Linked DNA regions of Astyanax mexicanus. The protein of the gene in region 2 purifies or fractionates together with the protein of the main gene of each other region. This does not show direct contact. Links are inferred from orthologs where the notes say so. Each region holds a gene or a part of one and is shown on either strand. Other genes may lie near its edges.

Evidence for each region.
Region 1: the proteins of psmb2 (region 2) and psmd5 fractionate together in Homo sapiens (co-fractionation; 3 studies listed by BioGRID). This does not show direct contact. The link is inferred for Astyanax mexicanus from reciprocal best matches to the Homo sapiens genes PSMB2 and PSMD5.

The regions. Positions count from the first base shown.
Region 1 is NC_064424.1:26,331,197-26,341,213, reverse strand, and holds the start of psmd5 (26S proteasome non-ATPase regulatory subunit 5), read right to left. Parts: upstream 5,115-10,017; 5' UTR 5,077-5,114; coding exon 4,900-5,076; intron 2,724-4,899; coding exon 2,583-2,723; intron 2,034-2,582; coding exon 1,920-2,033; intron 1,446-1,919; coding exon 1,317-1,445; intron 807-1,316; coding exon 697-806; intron 268-696; coding exon 125-267; intron 1-124. UniProt on the Homo sapiens protein: Acts as a chaperone during the assembly of the 26S proteasome, specifically of the base subcomplex of the PA700/19S regulatory complex (RC).
Region 2 is NC_064410.1:53,480,140-53,491,021, forward strand, and holds the start of psmb2 (proteasome subunit beta type-2), read right to left. Parts: upstream 4,418-10,882; 5' UTR 4,286-4,417; coding exon 4,195-4,285; intron 2,357-4,194; coding exon 2,234-2,356; intron 1,836-2,233; coding exon 1,765-1,835; intron 1-1,764. UniProt on the Homo sapiens protein: Non-catalytic component of the 20S core proteasome complex involved in the proteolytic degradation of most intracellular proteins. This complex plays numerous essential roles within the cell by associating with different regulatory particles.

The DNA.
Region 1 (10,017 bases), on a different chromosome or scaffold from region 2:
ATTGCCACATACACAGACACACAAAAAAAACACAAAAACAAAGACACACAAAAACACAGACACACAAAAACACAGACATACAAAAACACAGACACACAAAAACACAGACACACAAAAACACTACCTGGCAGGTAGAAGCTGGAGAATGGGTCGGAATCTGCAGCTGTGATCATGTTAGATATCTTGTCCATAATGCCTTGCTGGGCGAGGTACTGACGGCCATGCTGGCTCTGAGCCAAGCTGGTGACCATCTCGATAGCAGTCACTCTGAGACAGAGGAGACAAAAATTTGCTAATATGAACACTCAGATTTAAGTCGCACCCACAACTGAAACATAACCTAGCCAAGAGACAGTGTTGATGGAGTTAGAGTGGGAGAAGTAATCCCTCATCATCAGCTCCAATGTTTCAACATGTACTGTAATGCCCTCACATTTAAATAAAACGCTGTAACTGTGGCAATGTGCTACAAATGTCTGTCTAATAAAGTTATTATTATGAAAATATATATTAATATAATTTATTGTTGCACAATGTATGCACAGCTCAGCTTTTTTTTCAGAATATTATTTATGTATTTTCCCAACATGTATTAAAAATATTATCTGCAGACTGGAAGATATGCAAAAGACAGAGGGATGATTGATAAGTTATTGTGGCCATTCCTCTGTTTGTCAATGTATTTGTAGGTGTTACCTGACAAGTACATCTTCTCCAGTCAGTTCTTCCAGAAGCTGTGAGATGAAGCTACTGTTTGCACAGTACCCGAGGGAGACAGGAGATACAGAGGACACTTCCACAACCAGCTATGCACACACACACAGACACACAGACACACACACACACTTGTACATAAATGCACCAATAGCCACATTACGTCAAAAAACAGCATGTTATTTTAGCAAGTACAACAATTCCAACGGACAAAATTATTAAAACACACTGTTTCTTTCTAAATCAAGGCCATTAAAAAGACTATCAGATTGTGGAACGTTGCTACAAATGTGTTAAATGTCAGCATGTAGAGTGATCCTTATTACACCCCAAATGTTCTGGATTAAGCACCATTGTTCCAGAGAACACAGATTTACTGTTCCACAGCTCAATGCTGGGGGAATTTAGGCTGCTATAACCCACAGCTGGCATTAGGCATGATGCCACTGAGTTCATGTTTATCTGCTCTGAAGAGTCCTTTTCTATTGGCAGTAAATCTCTACAGCGACTGTGTGAGAAGAAGCTGTGTGTGGGTGTGAATTTGCACAGCTGTGTCATCAACAGGTGCCACTGTGTTAGTCAGTGGGATGACTGATGCTTACCTCATACACTCTGTATCTGATGACATCACTGATGCCCATCACGTCCTTGAGCTCCTTCAGCAAATCGGAGCGGAAGAGAGCATCAAGCCCCGCCTTGGTGTTACTCAGCATGCTGAGGGCAGAAATGGCCTATAAGGGATAAAATATAGAACAAACAAGAGCTTGTAAAGAACGCAGGGATGCAGCTTTCTGATACTTGAATCAGAGATCCTAATCAGAGTCCTAATATTATCAGAAAGTATTGAATAATTAGGCTGATATGTGGTGCTGATCCAAATAACTGAACCTGATGCTCATACTGTGTCAATCAATGGTTGTTATTGTAGAAGAAAAAAAGACACATTTTAATTCACATACCCAGAGTCAATTCCCTGAAATACAGCCTGTAACATGAATGAATCAGTAAATCCGTAAAAGAAAGAGTTACAGAGGTTAAGACATCAACCCACACAACAGAACAGAGCTACATTCTAGAGCCTTTGAGGACCAGGAGGATTTCACAGAGCAGGATCTCTCAACTAGATCACTAAATGTCAAAATATTAACCTGCAGCTCTCCAGAAGCTAAGCTAACATGACTTTACACTCTACAAAGCTACTGTACCTCTTTGGCAACGCCTATACGTTCTGCTCCCACACATCGGATTACATCCCGCAGAACCTCAGGACTGTTCAGCATCTCTGTGATCCCCTCAGAGTGGCCAATCACCCGACTAATCTACAAACACAAGAAAAGGACACTCATAAAACTAAAGCATATGTTAGGGTATTACATATTTTTTGGCAATATGATAAAAACACTGAAAAAGATATTATTAATTTCAAGAATAAAGTACTGCAACAAAATAAATGCTTTTATTCTATTTAGTTTTAAACATTCAGTAGAAACAAAACTTCCATTTTGTAAACAAAATAACATTCTTTTTTTTATTAAATACAAACATAAAAACTGAAAAAACTGTAACATAACAAAATCTACCACCAAACTAACCAAAGATTTTGTGCATGCAAATAAATAAATAAAAAACATCATGTGTGTATGTATGTATGTATATATATATATATATATATATATATATATATATATATATATATATATATATATTACAAATACACCCTCAAAGCCTCACAGTAAATACTTCTATTATCACATTATAGGAGTTTTTACTGTTTTAGTAGGACAAGTTATTTAGATTTTATAAACGATACAACAGGTTATACCCCTACTCAACATCACAGTAAATGGAAGATGGACTTTACCACGAACCTGTTGGAGACCCAGCACTTTAACAGAATCATCAGGATGGTTCAGCCCACTCTGCAGCTCTAATTTGCAGTTCTGAGCCAACTGAACAGGATCCAACACCTGCAAGACACGTCCCAAGATCTCCACACACACCTTAACCTGCTCCCTGGATACACAGATACAGACAAAGAGATGTAGAGAGAGACTTGAACAAAAACTCCTCAATGATCATGTGTTATAAGCACTTAGACCCATTTCAATTGTGAAACTCTACACAAAACACCCATAAGTAAACATTGTCACTGCCCACAAATACAATAGGTTTATACAGTGGATAAGTTTTTACTGTAAAGTAATATAAGGTGAATAGCTTCACAAAGTAGAAACTCCATAAAGTGACTGCTGCAATATTTAAGGTGGATGGAAAAATGTTAGCTATCTTAGCTAGTGCTGCTTATAGTTAATAATTAGCTGGCTAGTCCTAGTTACAGAACTAACATTTTATTTTATTTTTATCTTGGATCTCAGAAGGGTCACTTCCTTTAATACTGGATTAAAAGTTAGTTTTCGATTCAGCATCTTATAATAATGAAATTTTAGCTTTTATTAGCTCACAATATTGACGTTCTTTCAGTCACTGTGTTAATATGTCTAAATAGTGATAAAATACTATTTTAGGGTAACATTGTCTTAATCTTCAATGCCTGACTAAACAACATATCAACAAAGTATACTAGTGCATCTCAAAAAATGTGAATATCATTAAAAAGTTACTTTACTTCGGTAATACAGTTTAAAATGTAAAACTCATTATATAAATGTATTAAACACAGAGTAGTCTATTTTAAGCGTTTTTTTCTTTTATTGTTGATGATTATGGCTTACAGCCAATGAAAACCCAAAAATCAGTATTTCAGAAAATTTAAATATTATACAAGACCAATTGGTACTGTTGTAAAAAGAAAATGAAAGATGGGTTTCCCCCCACCCCTCATCCGGGGTACAACTCCCCTACGTGTTCGTTTTGATGGAGAGAGTCGCAGACAGGTGGAGTGAAGTTGAAAGCAAATCAAGTATTTATTACAAAATACTGAATTCAGGAGAACCGATACATACAAGACAGTTAACAGCCGTCCCAGTAAAAGTTCTGACCCCCCTCTGATCTGACTCCATGTTTATACCCCAAATGACGTGAAACCTGCTGATGAGGCGTTGCTAATGATTAGCTCATGTTAATATGCATAATTTCACGTGTCTGGCCAGACCACTAGTGTTTGGCCTTGACTGTGTCCAGCCAGACAGTGTGGCATTGTTTGGCCGTTAGTTAGGATCATGCAGTGACCAAATGCCTTAAGCGTGAGCTAAACAAGTCACACAATAGATTCCATATGTTATATGCTAATATGTCAGTAACACGTGGTTAGTACGCCATACAATAGATCCTATGTGTTAGTTAAATGCCTTATGTATCATGTGGGTTAGTTTGTCATATAATAGAGCCTGTGTTAGTTACATGCCTGATCAAGCAATGTTTAACTATATGTGGAAAGAATATATATTGTGAGTATTGGTTAATCTTCTATATAAATGTGTATAAAATACAATGTGAGTATTGGTTAATCTTCTATATAAATGCATATAAAATACAAGGTTTCACACAATGATTATGTGATTGTAGATGCTAAAGTTAAGTAATCATTATTGAAGGATATTTGTCAACACACCCAAGGTATAATAAACGGTTAACTCTTCAATTCCCCCTTCTGACGTGTCAACAAGACACGTCAGTACTTTTGGCAGTGTGGGCAGTCCTGCTGGAAAATGAAATCTGCACCTAGAAAAGTTGTCAACATTTGGCACGTTTACACAGCCATATAAAAATTAGATCTGAAAATCTGAAACCTCTTTAGTGACCTCTTTTTTATCTTAGCTAATTTAAAGTTAACATATTTAATGCTTGACTAAACATCATATCAGTAGTTAACTATATATTATACCGTAATACGTATTAACTTTAGTTGTATGGGTTCAGAAAGAGTACCTGTCGCCCCATTAAGGTTAGCTAGTTTAGCTAGTAGTTAACAGTGGTCAGTTAGTTCAGCTACAGGACTGACAGGTAAGTTGGGGCTAATGCTAATGCTGTCAGTCAGTCTCCTGATTCAGAATTAGTTCAACAGTAACCCAGTCTGAGTCAGTAAATTCAGCAGTCAGTCTAGTTCAGCTCTGTGAAGTTGCTCTGTGAGTTAGACCCTGCAGTAACTTAAAGTAAACAGCTGCTGAGTCTGGCCGGGTTGTTAAGGTGGAAGGTTGCTAAGCTGACTCAGCCTCCTGTAATAACCTGCCTGTCGCTGGTGTTCAGCAGAGAGAAAATGAGCCCCAGCTTCTCCGGGGACAGGCTCTCTCTCAGCGCGCTCAGCGGGGTCGCGGACACGGCAGTACTGAGGCACCTCAGCTCCTCTATCGGCTCCTCCGACTCCGAGATTTCGGACAGCAGCCGCTCTATGGCCGCCGCCATGATGCTCCTCTGTTTGAACGGTGTTACCGCCGCGGAGGAAGAGTGTCGGTGCGCATCAGGCCTGCACTGCAGTTACGCAGACTGGAGAAGAAAATCAAGCAGCAATTCTGTGAATAAGAAAACTGAAAATACTGCATTGTCCAAATATTCACTTAATACCTCGATTTTTCCATTTAGTATCTCGAATTTAGTATCTCTGCATCATTAGCTAATTTAAAATATTTTATTGCTACTTAGTGTAGTATATGTTATTTTCGAAATATTGATTAAACGTTAATATTTTGACCTACGTGTAACTGAAAGATCTGAAACAATGGTTTTATCAAGCTAAGTAACACCAATGCCTCTTTTTACCTTATAAAAAAAACTAAAATTAAATAAGTTATACAATTAAAAATATGTTAAATAATGTATGTACAACCATAAGTAAAATATTTGTTATTTTAAAGCAAAATCACAGATTTTAAAAAGTAAGTCGAACTTAAAAAAAATTGACCACATTGATATTTACACAAACAAATAAGAGCTTTTGAGTAGCGCAGTGTGTAGTTTTTGTGATTGTGGGTTTGTTTTGTTTTGTTTTTTTTGCAGATGTGTGAACATAGGGACTATTGGAAGCCAGCAAAGATGGGCCTCCTATGTTTGGCATTTTATTAAACTTTTGTTAGAAGCGACTTTAAAATTAGTTGGTTCTTCGTGTTACAAGAAAGCTAACTAAACTAAACGAAAAAGATTAAACAATATTTTAATACATACTAAAAAATAAAATCTAATAAAATGCCAAACAGCTTTAGCTAAAATTAAAAAAAAAATATATATACTACTAATCATTTCCTTCCTTAAATAATCCTTTGTTGCCTAAATCATCTCCCCGTGATTCTGCATGGCCACCTGTGGTAAAATCTACACCCTCAGCTGATCAGATCATTTGATTCTAGCCCTTTAGGATAGTGACCTATGTAAATAGTGTATACCCATCTAGCCCATGTCTGACATTATGCATTGTGTTAATAGGTTCATGTATATCTCAGTAGGTCCAATTATATTTTTATATAATGCTTCTCTACAGGGACTAGACAAGCTGTGTGTGCATCTACACATCTGTATCAACAATCCCTCTCTGGGTGCAACTTAAAGTAAATGAAAGCATTCATTCAAACGTTTGAAGATATTGTGTAATATAAAATATGTATATACAGTGTTATGTTTGTGTGTAAAAAGCCATATTTGGACTCTAGTTAAATCCTGTATATTGGAGGGTTATTATATAAGACAGATTACGTATGCCTATTTATTCACGTTATTGAAGCTGTGTTTTAGAAATACTAAATCACCTGAGATCTGCTGATATATGGGTGCTGCCAGTAGAGGGAGCTGCTGTACAGAAACTGGATTACTGATAGCAGGTTAGGGAAGTCTGAGGTAAACACTGGCTGCCTCTAGGTAGCTTGTTTAATGCAGACATGATCAGACAACGCTTAAACATTTATTGGCCCATGAAATCCCCAGTTTAGTCTCTGAACAAGGGTTTACACTCAATTTATATCAGGGCATCTGTTCATTATGCTTGACAGAGGTATCAAAAAACAAAGTACTAATACTTCATTACGTTACTTAAGTAGAAATGTTGGTTATCTATATTTTACTGGAGTAATTATTTTTCACACCACTTTTACTTCCACTCCTTACATTTATACACAATCATCTGTTCTTTCTACTCCTTACATTTAAAAAAAAACTTCCTCTTGTTTTCATTCCGGCTTCTCATCGTTCAAATCATTTAATCTCTCCATCCAGACAGAGTGAATTTGATTGTAGTTGGATGAGAAGTATAAACATCAGAGGTGGAAAGTAACTAATTACATTTACTCACATTACTGTAATTGAGTAGATTTTATGAGTAATTTGTAATTTTTAAAGTAGTTTTTAAATTAGGTAATTTTACTTTTACTCAAGTACATTTTGACACAAGTAATTTACTTTGCTACTTTGGAAAACTCCCCGTTACTGAGTAAAAAAATAAAATGCTGGGAAAAAAAAACAAATTGTTTGAATTAAAACAAAATTGAGTTTTGTTCTCCATGGCAGCGCAGCTGAACTTTTCCCAGCAGTGTTTATTATGGTTAGCGGGAGAGACGCTGTGTGAATCAGCTGTGTAGCCTGGGATCTGTGTGCGCGGCTCCGGGGAACCGGTGTTCTGTCGAGTTATGCTACCCATCGATATGTGCTTCTTTACAGCACTGCGCATGTAAAAACATTCTTTTTGTATGTTTTTAGGTTTTTAATGATAATTCCTTAAGTTTTTATTAGGAACATTAAAAAATCTGCTTGGATGTTAAAAAAAAAACATGTAAATAGCAGTTAAAGCATAGCAATGGCAAGTTAAAAAATAATAATGAACTGTAAAACTATAAAAATACGGTTTATAGGTCACCTATATGACCATAACCTTTTAACAGTAAAGAAAAATAATTGTTTCATATGCGATCCATCACACCTGCTCATTTTCAATGGGTATATATGCAGCTGAAATAGAGAGACTAGTGCATCCCAAATTTATCAACATTATCATTTAAATATAACAATATAGTAATTATTTCTTTTACAAAAATGTGTGGAAAATGTTAAAAAAGGACAGGGGGGGGGGGGGCTGATTATTCAACATATATAAAGAAGTATTTTAAACCCTATCATCTGTACTTCTACCTGAATAATAAATGTTATTACTTATTACATTTGATGCTTGAATAGGGCAAGTGGTTGTAAACTGAGCTGTTCTCCAATCCAGCTGTTCAGCTCTGTAGATGCTGTGTTCACATAAAAACACAATAGCTTTATATAAACCCATTAAAGCAGGCCTAGGTATAATATAGACCCTGTGTGCAATGCACTTTACTGTTTTAGAATATTTTTTGTAATATTGATTTTTGAATGTGTGTTTCAGAGTGGATGAGTGGAAGAAAAGTAAATAGCCACAGCACTGCATGTTAAAACCGACGAAGATCAGATTTACCAATGGATTTAGCAAAGACCAGAATGGCTGATGGTAGTTTGGAGCTTTTGCCCCTCCAAGCACTGGTACAATGTAAGTAACTCTGTGTTTTACACCACATACCTTTACCAAACTAATCCAGTGGATATAGAGGAGACAGATTCAACTGCATTTAAACATAAATGCATAGTGTTTTGTCAACACAAATAAATTATTGTTTTATTACACTTCATTGTGTCTTGTTGACACAATGTAATTAATTTACATTTAAATTTCTGCATGCATGATATGACTGGCATGGCCACACACCCAAGTAATTTCATTGGCCACTGACTTTGTGCAAAGCAACTTAGATGTGTAAATCATTGCATACTGGGTGTGTCTCCCCTCTTTATATTCACCATCAATGTTTAGTCTTTCCCAAAAGCTTTGTTCTACTTGTGAAGATGTTAAATGTAAAGATGTTATATTAAGCCTTAAAATTATGTAATACCTGCAAATAACTGAATATATCTATTTCAGTTCACTTCAGATTTCATTGAGCATTGGCAAGTTATGTTGGCTCAACAAATTATAACTTTATATAAGAAGTGTGCAAGCGACGTTATTTTCAGTGTAATCATGAAGTTAGGTCAAGTGTGCTAGATCCACACCAAGCTGCACAGTGCTAAAAAAGTATGTGTGCGCGCGCACAAAACCTCAGCTGAGTGTAAAATGCTAATCTCTGCTATGTGCTGGCACGCGGCCGGACTACTGCCGGATCGCTGAGGGATTACTCCAGGTTTTCCAGGTTAGTGACTCCATTGAGTGGGAGAAACACTACTGCACCTCCAATATTCCATCAGGGATCAGGAAAACTCTAGAGTCTGCACCTGGGCTCTCCAGAATATAGGATGTGGGCCAGGATTGGATATGCTGTTTCATTATGTGTAGGCCTTTGTGATTAGTTGGCAAAGAAGATAGATTTTTATAGGTTGTTGTTGTGTTACGCTTCTACTCCTAGCATGTTTAGCTGTCATTAAACACTAGCAGCAGTTTAAAATGTGAGCAAGACTGGATCATGCAGATGGAACCTATAGAGTGCTAAATAATGGCAGTAGTGAAGGTTATGTACAAAGGTTTAAAATTAGATACACCTGCTCTTTCATTGTTTCTTAAGAAATCAAGAGTATGAAAAATTATCTTGCTTTTTTTTTTGAGTAACTGCCTGTACGTGTAAGCATTTTATTGCATTCAGTGGAAAGAACCTTAGTGAGGTCATGATGTTGTATTATCACCACCTCACTTCATCCTGAGCTCCCCAACTCATCTCAAAATATTGTATCCACTTATCTGCACCAGGGCACGATCATGGTTGTTTTTACCACGCTGTGCGCTTTCTCCGCATTCTGTGCTTTTATGCGCGTTTCATGCGTTTCATTCGATGCCTTTTTGGTATTGAATTTCGAGCCCCAGTGTTCAGTATGACCACTACAAACATTGGTACATACAGTGTACATACTTATCAGATCTGAGTAAGTCTTACAAAAGCTGTGTTGTTAGCTGTTAATTGGGCTCCATGTTGGCTGTATATGGTAGCCTTTGTGCTTCCATTAGCCCAGGAGGTTGGGATGCTCCTCAGCATGAAGGTGTAACATTCCTGCCTGGTCCTGCAGGGAGAGACTCTTCAGCGACCCAACCCGCAGAAATGGAGGGTAAAAGAGAGATTGCGGCTGATTGCTGGTTGCGGTCCGGCTGCTGCCTTTAATAACCCCCACCCTCCACCCATCATTACACCGTATACCCGAGAACCAAATCAGCCATCAGCCGCCCCCCCAGCTTCACACTGCAAAGCTCTCCGGATGATGAAGGACTCTGAGGAGGTCACTATTAAGAAGAGCAGCTGAGTTAATGTGCAGGTTGGTCTGCGCTGCAGCCGGGAGGGGTTCTGCATTCAGTCGCACTGCATA
Region 2 (10,882 bases):
GGTCCAGATACAGACATTCTCTTTTGTTTTATCAAACGGAAATGAAAACACCAAAATTAAAGTGAAACTTGCCACAAATGTTTTTAAATGCATAGAATGATATAATAATATAATTATATCATTTCTGTTCCCTACACTGTTATAAGGCACAAATAAAATGTTTTATTTGAATACCCAAGCTTAAAAAACAGGTTTAGAGCAGAAGGTCAGCCACACTACAGTATGCTTGAGACAAGAGAGAGGAAAGGCCTTGCTCAACTGCCCAAGTAAAGCATCTTAACTTAGTGGACCCTGCTATAGCACTCCAAACCCTGTGATCAATAACTCAGTGTTACTACTACTGAGCCACTATTGCCCTACACTGTCAACCGAGATGACAAAAACAAGGATACAAGTAATTATATCAATTTCAGATTCAAGTGATTTTCATTACACTTAATGCTTAACCACACCCAACCCCACAAACCACAATAGTGAAAGTGGTCCTGTGGGGAACAGACCTGACAGGCAGCCGGTGTGGGCCGTTCTTTAAGCATGCTCTAGTAGAAGTGCAGTAGAAGTGCTACAGCTGAAGCATGTTGATTTGGGATCCTGGCCTGATGCCCCGGAGGCCCCCTCTCCCTGTGCAGCCCCTCCCGCATCAGCTGCTCTAATTGTTTTTTGTAATTATTTTCTCCCTTCTGCTATTGTGACAAGCAGCAGCTACACTCTTCCTAACAAATTAACGCACAAACTGCCAGACAACAGGACTGGGATGGTGGCAGTCCTTTTACACAGATGGGCACACATATACACACACACATACATACATACATACACATGGGAAGAAGACATCTGAGATTAGTGGGATCGCGCTGCAGAGAAGACCCAGGTGCTAAAGGTTTAAGCCTCAGAGACCTCGGATCACACCTCCACACATTCACAACAAACTGACATCTGTCTATGATCGGCGTCAACACGGGTCATTTAGTCACAGCTAGTGGCACACTGTGCAGCGCTGGCAACCCAGTGTGAGTTATGTTTACAGGTTTGTTTAGTGCTAATAAATGAGCACTGGTGGGGGCTGGTGGGGCCAGGAAACCCAAATGTAATCACACAGTGAGACTACACTGAATATGTACATTACAAATATGTATTATGTCAATATGTCACTGTTTTGTGATCATGTTTTTTATTGTGAAACTAAATATGCTTCCTAAACATGACATTGATATAATGAGATTTACTTAATCCTATAAGTAGGCAAAATGACAATACTATATCATACTCTGATGGTGATATAGTGATAGTGTTATTCTGAGATTACAGGGCATGTATAGATTTTATAGCAAACTTCGTAAAAATATTTGAGCACTACAAAACGGGGTAGTACTTTGCATTCTGGCCGCGCCAAATATTTCATAATGTGAAAATGTCTTTAAATATTAAAATATTTTTTCACCATATTGACCACCCCAATATGAATTCTGGAGTTTTAAAACATATGGTCATAATTGTTCAGAAACCCTGTGTTTACTTTATTTTTATGATTAATCACGCATCAATACAAATGTAACTGCATTAATAATTAATCCTCAACTACATAGCTCAACATGGCAAAGTAATCACTTTGCTTTGGCAGCCCCAAAAAGTTTAACATACCAGTTTCAAGTGAACATTATATAAACAACAACTTGAAGGACATTTTCTGAGGTAACACTAGACAAAAAAATGTAAAAAGGGGCTTTTAAAAATACTTTTTTTTAAGACAATGTATATACACACCCGGCTGCGGAGATAGTCTGCTAGGTTCTTCCTGGTGAAATTTGCTGCAGCTGCTGGACTGAGCTCATACCCTAAAAACAGAAATAGTTATTGCACTTAAAACCAAAATGAATTACAAAAGTCACAAAATAGACTACACCTACAGTACATTAAAGGGGTTAAATCAGTTAAGCTGATCAGAACTGAACATATCCATGTGCTGACTAAACGCATGCTGGAGAAAGCTTTGTTCTTTAAACTACTTTCTCCAAAAATTCCTGTTTACTGTTTTTTTGTTTCCCTGCACCTGTTCTAATAAAATCTTGAATTTGTAATGTGATTATAGGCCTTAAATATCTGAATAATACTGTATATCTGCCGGATTAAGTTGTGAAAATTCCATGTTTTAACAAAAAAACTAAAAGTGTTAAATTACTTCTAAAGTTTTAAAGCTAAAAGCCTTTCTCTGGCTCTTTAAGCAAATACTTACCATTTCTCATTTTGTAGAGCTGAACATTTTTCTGAATATACTCTGCAAACTGCACTGTATCTCCAGCTTCGCCGACACATAACAACAGGATCTTCTCACTTAGTTTGAACATTTTGTCGTAGTCTGAAAGAGGAAAAAAAGATTTTTAGATTTTAAACCCTCACCAACATAACACAAAAAAGATTCAATATACAGAATTCCTAAAATGTGAAGGTAGAAAAATAATATTTACAGTCAAATCTTTCACAAAATGTATTAAACAATAATTTAATAAATGGTTCTCTTAATTTTACAAACTGTTCCTTCACTTTATTAAACAATTGTCTTCGTAGACATGTCACATACGTTACTGTACAATATATGTTTGTTAATAACATTACTGACCCAGATTCTGCCCATGATACTGCGTTCGCCAAGCAAGTACATTTACATCAATGATCCAGTGTGTTGGCAAATGTTCACAAATGTACACTTTATTTACTTAGAACATTTAAAATATTCAAATTCTATTACTCAATTTTCTATTTTCTAATTATTCTTAAAAACAGTTAAGGTTTAAGGGTGGAACTGCATACGCTATTGTATTGTACTGTTATTGTATAATTTACATAAAACTGTCTTAGAACAACAATATTGTTCTATCGGGGACCACACTCTGTACAAAAAAAATCACTATCATAAGCTTCTAAACATTGCTTAACTAGTCAGTATCATGTAGTCACTTTCCTTAAATAATAAATAGACTTTTTTGTCTAAACCATCTCCTCATGTTGCTGCATGGCCACTTGTGGTAAAATCACTACACCTCAGTTGATCAGATCATTTGATTCCAGACCTTTCAGATAATGGCATATGGCCTAACAGTGTTACTTGAACTAAATTATTATGCCCAAGTCAAAATAAAACGTGACAAACCCATTTTTATCAGCTTTCCAAGAGGACATCTACCTTCATTTAACTAACTTCCATGATTCAGGGTTTATCCACAATTGGCAAGTAATGAGATTTTGATTAGAATATAAAGTTTACTTTTTGTTAATAAAAGCTAATGTTTGTATAGGCTATACATAGAGCATAAAGGTTTAGTTGAGTTTTTTTGCCTGCATTTTATTCAGCAAAATAGCCATAAATCTAGCTAAAAATACTCTACAATTTGTGGTTTATAAAATTATAACTTATTTTTTTTAATTAGGATTAAGGTTTCTGGTTGGTTCTACTGCTCTACTGTATGATAAACTAACCTCTTAAAACATTACTAATGTTTAAACAGCGATAACAACTGTTATATGTGCTTTGTGTTCCCTGAGTTAAACTTGAATTAAAAATTAGTCAATACATTTTCGGAAGGTGTCAAAATGATATAAGCTTTAAAACACTGACCAGAGAACAGATAGTTAAGTGACTGTATCAATTAAGTTATTTAATACATATATAAATATCCGCCAGTAAATGAGCAACAAAAAAGTCACTTTCACTTTCATAAGGGATTTGCAAACTCATCTCCTTATCATAACTCTGATAATGTTAGCTATAGACACATTACAAACGAAAATAATGTTTAATTTACGTTTTTAACAGCAGTATGCTCTATAAATGTATATATTATACAGTATAATGTAGGTAACGTTAGCTGATTAAATATGAGCAGAAAATCTGTTCTACCCACAGAAAGAGCTTATCTTAGTTAGTTAGCTTAGCTAGACAGTTAGCGTTAGCCCTCTAATGACTCTAAAATCGTCTTTCTAGACGTTTTACGTTGATAAAGGGGCGGAAATCCTCAAACTGCATAACTATAACATTTATTAAACATGCTTCTGGGCTCAGTTTATTTAATATTTACTCAGAAGAGATCAACTTAATCAGTTTAGCTTTAGCTTAGCTAGCTAACTATATCACACAGGCAGCCGGTTAGCCGTTTAGCCTCACAGTTAGCCGCTCCTTAAACGCTATTAAATCTTTACCGTGTTTCATCTGGATGATGCTGCTGGCGGCCACATTATCAGCCGCAACCAGCACGAAATCCTGCCCCTGGATCCCCAGTAAATACTCCATCTCTCACAGCGAGCAGGGTTAGCTAAACTCAGCGCTGAATGCAGGCGGAATTACACAGCAGAAGTAGAAGAACAGCGGCGCGCGAGATTGTCGTCACCACACTGCATGAGCTGAAGCTGCAGTTGTCACGTGGTCACTCTATCAGACACAGCATGACCAGCAGATACAGTGGCATGCAGCAGGTTGGGTCTTTTTTTGGCCACTTAGATTAAAATACCAAGAATGTGCAGATCTAAAGTATAAAACATATATCTGGTTTGTGTAACACTTTTTGTTTACTAAATAATTCCACGTGTTCTTTTACAGCTTAAATGTCTTCAATATAAAATGTTCAATGTAAAAAAATCATAGGAGTCAAATCAATGTAAACAGGGATCACACTGAATGAGAAGAAGAGGTGTGGGTCAGTGTAATGTTTATCAGTTCATTTTTCTGAGGCTAAATTAGTAAAAAAAAAAAAAAAAAATAGTAAAAACCAGCAAAAACGTAAAACTTCATTATTTGTTTTTCACATTTGGTGAAGTAATTTTTTTAGATTTTTATAGTTTTTTTTTTTCATTTATCTACTTTTACATTTCTACCCCTCACAATCAGAATTGAACAAAAAATCTAACAATTAATCAATTTCAAATTTTCCTCTCCCAATCTGATGGTATACTCCAATCACCTTATGTTACGAGATGCAGAAATGGAAAATTAAATAATTAAGTAAAGAGTCAAGCTTTTATTTTCACTGAAATCATAATTGTGAGGGGCAGAAATTAAAAACTTGACAACTGGAAAAAAAAATCACTATACTAATGGCTTACTGAAATATTTCGTTTTATGAGTCTTATTTATAAGTGAATAAGTTTACACCCAGTTTATTTTTTTTTTAGAATACAGAAAATTAAACTGATAAATGTTACACTGAACGTTTGACTGGTACTGTAAATATGTTTTTACCCATGCGAATAATGCCATTAAATAAAGTGAACATGTGCAGCTCCATATTTCATTTTTTTTCATTTGTGACATTCATTTAAGGCAACAATTTTTGGACCTTAATGTATACTGGTATACTGGTGTAACCACTTTGAAAAAAAATAGTCAAACCTTTTTTCGTATTGTCTTTTTAATTGCCACAAATTATAGCCAATAAGGAAAAAAGAGGATAAATAATTTTGTCAGATTCCAGGCTCATCTTGTTTTTATAGTCATTTTACTTAGACCTGGATCAGTTAATGAGTTTATTTACAGTATCAGAACTTCTGAACAAACAAACTTTTGCATTCCACTATAAATAAGTGTTTACTGTAGTCTGCATTCCTGAATTTGTGCAACATCAAACCACTAAATGGCATTACATCTTGAATCAGAAAAGACCCTGAGGGAACAAATGCACAAGTAATTTAATGTGAATGTATTTATTAAGAAAAGATATTCAACACCCAATCCCTCTGTGTGAAACAGTTATTGGCCTCTTTCTTTCAGTAACTTGTTATATCCCCTGTAGCAACAATAAATGCAACTAAATGCTAAATGCTTTTTGTAGTTGTTAATTATTTGTCTCACAATGCTACAGAAGAATTCCTCTCCACTCCACATTGTAGAACAGCTTCAAGTCAATAGCCTGAAACAATCCTGTAGATACAACTTCATCTCAGATCTTCAAACATCAGCATGTAAATAGAAATATAATCATCTTTATATTTCATGGGTTATGTAATAATTATGAAATATCTGTATGTGTTTTACTATAAGGGACTATACATCGCTTTTCACTCACCATTACACCTGTTTTTTGATGTGACAGTATAACTAATTTTATTTGAAGGCATTAATAACATGGAACAGATGGGACTAATTATAGAAGCAAGTGTGATTATGGGGTAACAGTGGTGACCCCTGGTCTGAATAATTTTTATTTTATTTTATTTGATCTCATTTTATTCCAAATTTGGAAAGCCAATTACAACACCAACACCAGATATCAATAAAAGTGAAGCCACATACAGCCTCTTTTTGGACTGCAGCTGATGAATTACTGGGTAGACAGTGCGCTCAGAGGAAAGGGACTCAGCTCTCATACATCAGCTAACATCAGCCTGTGCTGACCAGCATCTCATTGGGAGTAATGTGGGGAGAAAATCAACCCAACCAGAGAGAGAGCATGGCCAGTTGTGCTCATGGCAAGCAGCATGAGCCGGAATGCAAACCAGCAATCCCTGAATCATAGTAATAAGTCTGAGCCCATATAAAGGAGATGTTCAAAAGTTTCCCCAAACCATCACACTACCACTACGACGTTTCACAGTTGTTGTGAGGATCTTCTGTGTAGGATTTGTGATCATTTTCACCCAACCTTAGCAGAAGCAAGAGAGCAAACGTTACTTAAAATAACTTTAAACAAGCAAATTACGTTTACTTTTTTGCTCACTATTGGTGTGTCTCAAACATTTACAATAGAGCATGTGTTTAAATCTCACTACAGTATATCATATTTAATGTCTGATCTGCCACAGGCCAGTTGATACATCACATGTACTCACGTGAAACTCTGCTCTGCTGCACATAATGTTTTTTTTTTATATAAACACTTAAAAGCTCACATTGCATACACAGGCAGGCGGAGATGAAGGCAGATAGATAGACAAATGTGTTCCCCAAAATAATGCTAAACACAATAGTTCTGGAATGATAGTTTGACCTTGTGTCACTAAATGCTATGAAAATCCTCCCAACAATGCTCCAAAATCAACTAAAAAGGCTTATCTTGACAGTAGAGGCAGATAGCAGCAGAAGCAGAAAAAAACTTTTTTAATAGTGTTGATTTCAGTGATGTTTCTCAATACTTTTGTCCATATATTGCTGCTTTCATGTCAAAATCTGCAAAATAGCAATTTGACAGTAGCTAAATAAATCTTTCTTAACTTTCAATGTAAGTTAGTGTAAAAATATTTTATTACATTTAATTTTAGCACTTTTCTTTTCTGTTAACTCCTGATTCCAATCCTTATTAATAAGTGTTAGCAATAAATGAATATGGGCAGTATATTAGGAGTAGTGTAGTAGTGTTTATCTGTGTAGTGTGAAGCTCATCAAAAGTAGGTCCCGATCGAACCAACTGGTTCTGCCACACAAAATCTTGTGGCTACTCATAGATGATAGGAGGTTATACAGTGTGTGTCTGGCTGGAATGGTAGGTGAGTCTCAGACGATGCTGCATGCTCAGATAACATTCAAAGCACTGTGGTGAAGGTCTCCAGTGGCACAGAGCTGTAAGCATTCTTCAGCATCTTCTACAGGGCCTTCCTGTAAGCCAGAGTGGAGCTGCTGAAACCGAAGTGTCATCAGACAGTCGATTGGGATGCTTTTTAATGGTGCAGCAGTGGACTAATCATTAATTTGTATCTGCAAAACACTACACAAGGCCAGCCTATATATCTCTATTTATTTTCACTGTGTTTAAATTTCATAACAAAAGTCCTGGTAAAAGCCATAGACTGTACACCATATGTAGTAAACTGTTACATAGTCTTAAGAACTTACAGACTTGTGCTATTAATATACTGCATCTAATTGCTTGGGCACAGGGTGCTATTTTCAGATATATATTTGCACATTGTGATTAAATAGATAAACAATACAAATAAAATTGATTATGCTATCAAGCTTAAGTTTAATTTTGTTTGTTTCACAGGCCATCATTTTTATTATTTTCTATGAGAACGTATGTTAAGGTAGAGACTGGACATCACAGTAACATTTACAGGTATTCAGATATGAGCAGATGAGGTAAAACAATAAGCTGAAGAAAACCAGCACTAACACTGGCTCTTTCTGTGTATAAGACCGGTGACCCCAAGTGTAGGCCAGTCCTTTGCAGACCGCTGATGCAGATCAGAGCTTTGGGCTACTGATGTTGTTCTCCTCTAAATAAGATGATATACACTGGGAATATAAAATTCGTTTTTTGTTATTTTTCCTGCTGAGTAACCTAAATTACTAAGAATGATTCACACTGATGCTCAGACTGTGTCCTACAGATCCAGCTCAGAGGACGCAGTCTGTCTCCCCAAGCAGATTAAACGAAGGCACAGAGCGCAAATTACCCTGTATTTTTTCAGGCTGATCAAAAGATTTCTTTAAAGCCTTGAAAAGCCCTTCAAAATGCTTCCCTTTGCCTACGCCACAGTCTTGATTTTATTTCTTATGCTTTGATGTTGTGACCCACTATGCAACACGGCCTATAGCAGTTAAAACTAGAGAGAACAGCAAAAACTGTGAGTGTGAATGCAGTTTACTATGATTACTATGGTATAGCTGTATGTGTTGGCTAAAAAGTTGCTAGGTAAATGTGTTTGTTACCAAGGTGCTGCAATGGTTTTGCTATACTTTAGTTATTGGTTGCAATGGTTTTGCCAGATGGTTGTTTAAAGTGTTGCTATGATGAAGTTTAATTAATCAACCTTTATTTAAACTCAGGATTAAAATGATCAAACAGAATACAGTAAGTACACTAAAAAGGGAAAACAGTATTGATAAAAATAAATATAATATAAAATACAGCATAAATGAATAATAGTAAAAGATCAAAATATAATTTTGAAAAAAGAAATCTTTAAAATAATAAAAGTAAAAACAAGTCAATCCAAATAAATTAAATGTAAACACATTTAAAAAAAATCAAATCTGACAAATACAAAAAAAGTAGGTGCTAAGATGTTGCTTAGGTGGTTGCAATGGTACTTTTTGTCAAAATAGTAAAAAGACATGGCTAAATGGTGGAATGCAAATGTATCCACAGACTTTTTGCTAAACTGTGTGGTGCCCCAATTTTCGCTCAAACTTTTACCCACTAACACTACTAAGGCCCCTAAGTCTGTAAGGGTGAAAACTAGCACATTCCTTCTCTGATAAATGTATAAAAGTCAGAATTTGTATATCAGCTAGAATAAACAGATCATAAAAATCAAAAGTAAAAAAAAAAAACAATCGTGTTATTGTTATTACTTTGGAAAGATGATTGAAATGTAATTTTCTTACACTGCAAGCATCGTGTGGACTTTTAATGATGTTTGTGTCTCATCTTCTCCTCTTCCTGTACAGGCCCAGGTTTCTAGTTTTTTTATTTTTGTCTACAGCTCCTATAGCATATTTGAAATGAATTTATGATAGATGCACAGGGAATCATTGTAGTGAAAGTGAGACCGGATGTGTCATACTCATTTAAATTTTTCTCTGTATCCCCCCAACCCCACTCTCTCTCTCTATCTCTCTCTCTTTTTCTTTCTTTCTCTCTCGGCATTTGTCACTGGTTCAGCCTGACTGCTTCGTTAGGACTCATAATTTGCATTCAGATTAATTATCTAATTACCGACAAATGTCCGGCGGCCACCCCGCACTCCAGCTCGTCAGCTCAGAGCCTGTAATTATTTTAATCATTTACTTTCATCTGGAGCGTTCCTGCCATACTCCTGTGTTTAGAGGCCATTCTTAATTACCCTGCCAAGACACTCTTCCCCTCGTTTCATGAGAGGGAGAGAAAGCGAGACACACACACACAAAGAGAAAGAGGGAAACAGGGAGGGAAAGAGAGAGAGAGAGAGAGAGAGAGAGAGAGAGAGAGAGAGAGCAAGAGAGCCCGATGGGGACATGATCCAGGAGTCTTGACAGCATCATGGAAGCTCCAAACTCTGCTGGTTTTTCGCCCTTGTTTCTTTCCTCCACTTCTCATTCACTTCTTTCTCCTTCTCTATCTCTACCACCCTCCCTTCCTCTATCCCTCTTAACATCCTCCATCTCCTCCTCCTTCTCTTCTTCTTCTAACTCTTTCTCTCTCTCCATCTTCCATCACCCCCCCCCCCCCCACCACCCCAACCCACATCACTCACCCCCACCCCTCTCTAACTTCCTCCCTTTCCCCCTTTATCGCAAGCACACACAGGAATCGCCTCCGGGCCCCAGTGCTCTGACTGCTAATACACTGAGACACACACACACGCATGCACTCTCTCTCTCTCACTCACACACACACACACACGCACAGACTGTGGTGACACAAATCCTGGCACAACGCTCCCCCCGCCATCCCACCCATGCTATCTGCTCGGAAAATCTATACACCTCACTGTGTATGCTTTATTTAATCATCCGTCACACTGTTCAAGGTTGCATCTGGTTTGTGTCCATCAGCGTGTTGTGGGGTCAAATCCCACTCACTCCGCTCCCATAATGATGCCCTCGCAGCAGCCTTGAGCCAGATACACTAGCTGTAAATGCTCTGGTGAAAACACACAAGCTATAATTGGGCCCCTTGAACATCAAACTTGCTTTGGATGAAAGTTTAATGGAAAGATGATTATCTTCCAGTCCCTTTTCCACTATTATTATTTTTGGTTCTTTTTCAATTGCAGAAAATGAGCTAGGCCCTATATTCCCATGCTCAAAAAGTGGTAAAAGCATATTCGCTGGCTTCACTACTGAAACACGCCACAAAAGCAGCATTTACTGAGCAGAAAGTGTCCCGTTCTGCTGTCTCCTGATAAAACAGACGTATATCTTATTGTTCCTATTGAAGGGAATCAGTTCTACTGCCAGAGTAGAAGCAAAAAA